Linked DNA regions of Arabidopsis thaliana. The protein of the gene in region 2 interacts with the protein of the main gene of each other region in a pairwise test. Each region holds a gene or a part of one and is shown on either strand. Other genes may lie near its edges.

Evidence for each region.
Region 1: the proteins of AT2G04050 (region 2) and CNGC13 interact in a protein complementation assay, tested with the Arabidopsis thaliana proteins (one large-scale study listed by BioGRID).

Annotation. Positions count from the first base shown.
Region 1 is NC_003075.7:435,672-439,430, forward strand, and holds the start of CNGC13 (cyclic nucleotide-gated channel 13), read right to left. Parts: upstream 1,921-3,759; 5' UTR 1,733-1,920; exon of another isoform or gene 1,601-1,732; 5' UTR 1,572-1,600; coding exon 1,543-1,571; intron 1,417-1,542; coding exon 894-1,416; intron 821-893; coding exon 309-820; intron 183-308; coding exon 71-182; intron 1-70. Other genes in the region: AT4G01020 (helicase domain-containing protein / IBR domain-containing protein / zinc finger protein-like protein), read left to right, coding at 3,415-3,759. UniProt on the Arabidopsis thaliana protein: Putative cyclic nucleotide-gated ion channel.
Region 2 is NC_003071.7:1,337,863-1,341,621, forward strand, and holds the start of AT2G04050 (MATE efflux family protein), read right to left. Parts: upstream 1,607-3,759; 5' UTR 1,409-1,606; coding exon 1,163-1,408; intron 1,072-1,162; coding exon 527-1,071; intron 432-526; coding exon 345-431; intron 260-344; coding exon 203-259; intron 127-202; coding exon 1-126.

The sequences.
Region 1 (3,759 bases), on a different chromosome or scaffold from region 2:
ATCAGTAGTGTTTTATCTTCCTTGGGGATCAAGTAAGTGATGGAAAAAAGGCAGTGAAATGAATATATACCTGCATATTGCCGATAAGTAGTGCGAATAAGACTAGTCCAGATATACAAATTGATACAGCAAATATGATTTCCCCAACGAATTTGCTTGTATTGAGATTTTGTCCCAATGCACTGCAGCGAGTGAGAAACAGCAAGTGATCAGATTAGTGTTTCATGCTCAACATATCTTAGCCAGCCATCAAGTGTGTCACATGAATCCTAAATTACTAATAACTAGATAGAGAGAGTGTTACAAACCTTAAATTACGCAAACCCCACCAGAAGCAGTAGAAGAACTTCTTCCAGAAATCATCTGATTCAACAATCCCACTCTTTAAAGCATCAGTAAAGATACCAAAGTTGAAGACAGTTGAATTTGTTATATCATCAGGGTTGATAAACGGGCACGAGGTAGTCAGGAAATCGTTTCTAACACTACTGTTTCCATCGCAGTAGAGAAATCTAAAGTTACACACTTCTGGTATCTTCTCACAAGCTTCACGCCAGCATCTGTCTTCTCGTTCTACTGATATTAAGTACCATAAGGCTCCAAACACATGACTGGCTAACATATAGAGAGATAGGTTCCAAGCAGCTCCAGCCCAAGCGGTTTCAGTAACTATGCCAGATGTTCTTGTAACTTCAGTGTAAAGTGGATAGATACGAAGAATCCTTGGAATGTATTGAGTAAATATGACAGTTATCAAATAGTCCTTAGTGATCAAAGAGACCGGCTTGTTGACATTGGGGATGACAGCTAAGACTACAAGCTGCAGCAGATACAACAGAATATTAAAGAACCATCAAGAAGGAACTATAAAACCATTAGGAACTAAAGGTTACCTGTGGGAGTGGAAGGATAGAAAGAAGATCGATGATGAAGTAGGAGGAGAGGTACTTGATGGCTATAGCTTTAGGATCATCAACCAACTCGCCTCTTCCGAAAACACGAGAAGAAGGAGAGATATAAGCAGTTCTAAACTGAAACACAATGTGAATGATGTAGAAAGCATCTATAAACGTGCGAAGCACACTAGCTGCTATCTCCAAGTTACGATGCAAATTAAGACAGTGTCTTTCTCCATCAACAATAGGAATATAGAAAAACAATGGATCAATAGCCAAAGCAATCACTGAAGCAAAAAGAAAGATTTTGTTCCAGTTCTGTAAAAAAGATCCTTGTGGGTTTATAATATTCTTCTGTGTAGTGGTACTAGAATTAGAATCTCTCTTCTTATTATGTGAACCAAAACTTAAAGGTTTCTTAAGTCCTCTACGAACATTCTTCAAAACTGTGTTTAGAGATGGTCTAGCTTTATTTCTTCCGTAACCATACTCTGTTCCCTCTGAAATCCAATCTCTGAACCTAAACAAAAAATCATCAACAAAAAAGAATATTTTTTCTGAGAATCATTCATATCCATAGTTTCTCAGTAAATTCATTCTAAAAAAAAAAAAAGACAGAGATTAAAGAAAGCAAGCAAACAACAACCTTACACGATTGTTGCGGCCAAAAGCCATGAGTCAAGCTTTTTTTGCTATAACGGATCCTGAATCATAAGAACATCGATTTGATCGCTTTAATTCGTTATCCCCAAGTTTACAGTAACAGAAAAAAAAAAAAAAGAAGAAGAAGAAGAAACGGAAACTAAGAAATTAAAACATTTATATCCGAAACTGACCAGAACGTTGAAGTAACTGAGAGAAGCGATATAAGAAAGATTATAGTAAGAATTTTCCGATGATCTGAAATTGGGAAAATTCTCGAAATTAATTCTCTGAAGTTTTTTTTTGAAGCAGTCAAATAAGCTATCATCGTAGAGTCAAGCTTGGCATGGCGCTGGAAAATGGAGACTCCATTGGCAGTTTCTTCGAAATTGTGTGCATTTTACAATAAAAGACAAAAGAGAGGGAATTATTAAAGAGTCAAAAACATTTGATGGGCCTAACCTTAATTAAAAGCCCAATTCGATATTGAATTTGATTTTAAAATTCAGAACTTGTTATATATCAGACCAACACAGTAAACATCATAGATTCCAGTAATGCATCAGCTATAAACAGATCCTAGCAGTGTGAAATAGTAAATATGCTACGATTTAAAGGTTTGGATCCAAAGAATTTTACCAACTTCATAGCAGATTGTTCACACTCTACACTCAATAAGCCAAATGTAAACAAAAAGATGACCAAAGATCTTCACAAATCTACCATGAATCACAAAATCTATGAAGACAATGTGATTTAAAGCAAAGATCTTACAGTTTTTATGGGCTCTTAGTTAAATTTTGAGATAGTAAATTTTCATATAGGCCCAACCGCCCAAGTGAGCAATCTTGCAGGACTTTTGTGTTGTTTATGGCTTTTGTCTTGTCTGACTCATGAAATCTTGTTTTTTTTTGTAGATAAAAGAACGATAAATGACGCTTTTAAAACTTTTTAAAGACGAGAGTTCTAATAAAATTAGGAAATAATAATATATGATGTTGACAAAAAATGTAGAAAAATATATGAAATTTTTATTGGCACGAAAAATTTGTAGCGAACCGCATCATATCATCACTTATATAAGCAATATTTTTTGAAAATAACTCATTTGAATATCATTAATTAAGCAGATGAGAAAAAATGATATGAGGTTATTGAAATTTTTAACCAAATTGTTTTTTATATAAAACATGTAACACTTTCTGTTTGTTTTTTCTTTTATATAATTTTGTTAACACCTTTCTATATTTTCTGCTTTCAATATTTTCTATTTTCTTTTATTTTGAAATAGTATTTTTTTTTGTAGGGATTTGAAAATAGTTTTTTTTTTGTAGGGATTTTAAAATAGTTTTTGAAACTACTAACTAATTATTAATAAAATTCAATGCTTTGAATAAAATCTAAATGGTATACAAATATTAAACTTTACAAGAATATGAGTTAACTATTTAATACCTTTAAGATTTCATATTTACTTTTGATGATATGTACATTTTAATACGTATATGGCAATATCATTGGTAGATACACTATTTCTAACTTAAATTTTAAAATGTGGTAAAAACATAAAATTGAAATACTAAGAAATGTTACTTTAACACTTTTATCCTCAAATTTGGATTTCTGGATGTTTCTATAGGTCGAACCAATAATTAAAGAATTGATAGTAACAAAATGGGTTTTAATATTGATTAGAAGAAAATTAAATTAGGTTAAAGAAAAAGGAAAGAGTAGACGAAAAGTTAAATAAATTTTAATAGGGTTTTAATATTGATTGATATAACTCTCTGACTCTTCTGTGACTCTTTTCAACTTCTGACTCTTTCTCTTTCGCTCTCTCATTCTTAACAAGAAAAAAAACTGGCATCATCTCATCATGAGGAACTCTTTTCCTCCTTCAGACGGTGGGAGATCGACGACTGATCGTCGTCAGCAGTCGTTTCCCTCATCCTCAACGAACCGTTATAACTCTCGCTCTGCACAATCTTCTCCGCCGCTCAACCACTGTACTACTTGGAACCAGCAACACTCTCAGTACCATAACACTAATTTCCCGCCAAATTACAGACGTGATCGTGCTCCGTCGTCGGGATTCTCTCCTCCAGTCACGCGGGCTAGGCCTAATTTCATCGTTCAGCTGCTTCACCCCGCCGCCGCTAACAGTGACACAAAGCTGTCTAAGAAGCAAGAGATCGAGAGTATCGCTTTGCTTTGCGAAATT
Region 2 (3,759 bases):
TTTCGGCATGTGAAGAGAAGTGTGCTAAAGAAAGCTGACTCTACAAGCCAGAGACAAAGCCCTGCCAATACTGAAACCCTAGCAACTTGAGGAATCCCAGCTCCCAATTTGTTTGACACGCGTGTGCTGCAAGAAACCAAATGACTATTATTGTTTAGGAAGAAGATGTTGAATATGTTTGGTTAAAAATTTGAGTTCATACCTCACAGCCGCCGCGACTCCACCTGGAATCACATAGTGCAAACTTGCTGTTGTAAGACTTGCATTAAAGAAATAAGATTCATTAGTTTTTAGTAAAGAGGATAATAAAAATAAAAAGAAGTCGTTATATGATATATATTTACCAAATTGAAAGAACAGAGGTCTCGAGTTTCGGGTTTGGGAGAAGACCTGAACAGAGTATGAGTAGCTCAAATAGCCACCATTCTAGGCTATTAAAGGAAGACCAAGAAAACGCAAGCAAGATAAAAAAAAGCATTGGTTGTTGTATGTAACTTGACCAACAAGAAACTTAAAAACGACTTACCAAACCATTGCCGCTGATGGGACTCCGAAGTGGAAGAACTGCTTGATACAAGACACGAAATCACTGGATACAAATACGCGAGTCTTGTCGCAGGAGCTGGAGTACCTCACATAACATGAGAGAATCACAACATAGAACCAGAAAGACACACTAATAGCCATGGCAGCTCCATTGCTTCCCAGACCAAACGCGTAAACAAAAGCCCAGCAAACAGGGATGTGGAACAAAAGAGTGGTCAGGGTACAGTAGAGCAGTGGAAGAACCAACCCTTGTGCTAGCAGAAACCGAGTCAGTGGGATGAAAAACGCATGGGCGAACAAAGCCGGTATGAGCCACAAGGCATAGGAGCCAGCGACTCTAGAGATGTCAGGGTCTTGACCGAGAGAGATTAAGAGCTTTTCGATGTAAATCCAGAGAACTGATATGAGGACACATATAGGGATGTTAGAGGCAGTTGCAGAGTATGTGTAGGTTCCGATTTTTTCGTATTGTTTGGCTCCATAAGCTTGGCCACAAAGAGTTTCTAGTGCACCCGCTAACCCAAACTGCACAAAGAATTAATATAGTGTTATCAAGATTTGAGAGGCAACTTGATCTTGAACTTAAGAGGAGAGAGTAGTTATAGCATATCATTACCAAAATACTGAACCCGGAAACGTTTGTGAAGGAGGTTGCAAGAGCGACGCCGGAGAGCTGGAGCTCACCATTGTGGCCAGCGACCATGACTGAAATGACAGGCAATAAGTACTGAGCAATGGTCACGGCGGCCATAGGAGCGGCCAAGCTGCTCACTTTCTTCAGCTCGACGGTAACCTGACCACTTTTCCATGTGTCTTTACAGGGGACAAGGTGCTCATCTTGCAGAAGAAAGGGCTCTTCCATTGTTGTCCTTCCTAATGTTGAAAGCCGTGTGCGTATAATCTCTGATGTTATTCTTCTTATCTTTTATAGACAGACAACGAAAACCAATGTTTAGACTTTTCTTTTTGGAAATTTGTGGGACTAGAATATTGAATTTACACGACTCTTAGCTCAACCAGTAAAAGGTATTCTATATTTTCCACCGAAGATACTCAAAAAAGTATATTATTATGTCTACACGTTAAAGTATAAAAGTATAGTAGTTTTTCGCAATGACGTTGTATAGTTTCTTCTCTTTAGTGGACGTTGTGGTCAACAGTCATCCAATAGGATAATAAGGAAGTGCATGAACAAGAAATATACTTGGGGACCAAGTTCGTATAATCAATGACTAAACAACAAAACAACTCGAAAAAGATTACTTGGGAATCAAGTTCTAATATTCAGAGATTGACAATTTATCAAAAAAAATAATTTTGAACAAAAAGAATTTGTTTTAAATAGCAACTACACAGTGCAAACACGTGACTCACAACAACAGCATCCTTACCGTGAGCCATTAAAGTATTTGAGAGCAACTTCATCGCGAGTTTTTTTAACAAGGGTTCTCACAATTTCACAAAAGCGGCATTCTAAAGAGGGCAAAACCGCTGTTTGTTTGGATCCCCATTTCGAATTGGGCTGGGCAGCCTTTGGCCCACTAATAAATTTACCACGGCCTAAAGCTAATGCTAATGGGTAGGCCTATTTACCAATTTGGTCCAGGTCTGTTTTTCTTTCTTCCTTGTCAAACACTAGATATCTGATGGCAGGGTTATGGTTTTGAGATTGGTCGTGGACTCCTTTCTCTCATCACGTTGACACCTATAGATAGTCTAGACAAGGTGCTTTTATTAACCTTGGTGGTAGATCTTAGTGCCTTAAAGAGCAGCTCATACTATTCATATAAGTCTAAGAATTTTATGATAGAATCATCCTCTTTTATAGAGAGAACTTTTGAATCATCCTCTTTTATAGAACGAACTTTTGGTTTGTCTCCGACTTTAAGTTTGCAAAACCATTTGGATACCTTAATCACCTTTGTAGAAGCTGCGTGTTTCGAGCCATTGTTATCCAAGGTTAAAGACTCTTTATCAACGTCACTATGTCTCGTTTGGACCGTGACCATTCAACAATCTCCCAAAATATTCGTGTAATTGTCTTCGACTCACCATTCTCTCGCTTGTAGCAAGTTACTACATTGTTCTTGTCTTCGATGTATGGATCTACCGTCAAATTATCTTATATCATTTTCCTTTACCATTCTCTTGTGAGAGAACTTGTGGTTTTCTTTGATGTTTCCAACCATGAGGTTGATGTTTGTTTAAAATTTGTACTACATATGGGTTAAGTTTGAATGAAATTATCTTTTGCACAAAAAAAGGGTTTTGACCATTAAAAACTAAATATTAAAAAGTAAGAAAAGAGAGAGAGGTATAATTTAGTATTAGGTTCAAATTTGAGAGTCGGGTGAACCTTTAATACTTGTAGTTTTATTAGTGGGTCTAATTGTATTAAAAAATGCAATATAATTATAAATTTTTTTAATTATTAGTGGTCTAATGCTCTACAAGACTTTTTCATTCTAATATATATATATATATACTAGAAAGTTATCCAAACGATGCGTGAATTGTATATTTGGTTTTAGTTTTGAATATAGAATGATATTAACATTAAATTATATATAATATTTTTTTATAATTGTTAATATATCGATAGAAATTATTAGAAGTAATAATTTTGATGTTTACAAATTATGATATGTTTAATGAAGACATTTTACTTGATTAAAAGTTTTCAATGCACTATATTTTGGCTCTTTTTGTGTGAAATTGATATGTTTTATTATAAATTAAAACTTAATATATTCAATATTACCTTTTTTTTGGGGTGAAATGGAAATGCATGTATTACAAACATATGATTTAAACCTTCACAATTAAAATTTTTAAAGCTTATGATATAAGATGATTTTCAATGGAAAATCCTCCAACTTGACTAAAGATCTCATAATGTCGGTTCAAAAGAAAAAACAAGTTATATAAAATCTGATAAATGTACTGAAAACGTTATGTCGCTATCGAGTTACCAATTGACCAACAATACTTTATGTAAATGGAAGATAAAGAAATATTTTCTTTAAGAATTTAAAACAATAAAAAGAAATTGATTTTATATGGATATAATAAAATTAGGAATTTAAAGTTAAAATATCTTATTATTGAGTTATTTCCTTAAATTTGATTTGTATATAATAAAAAAAAAAGTTAAGAGCGGATAAAAAATTTGTCACTTTGAAGGTTTTTTACCGCATTTTTTTCTCAAAAGTT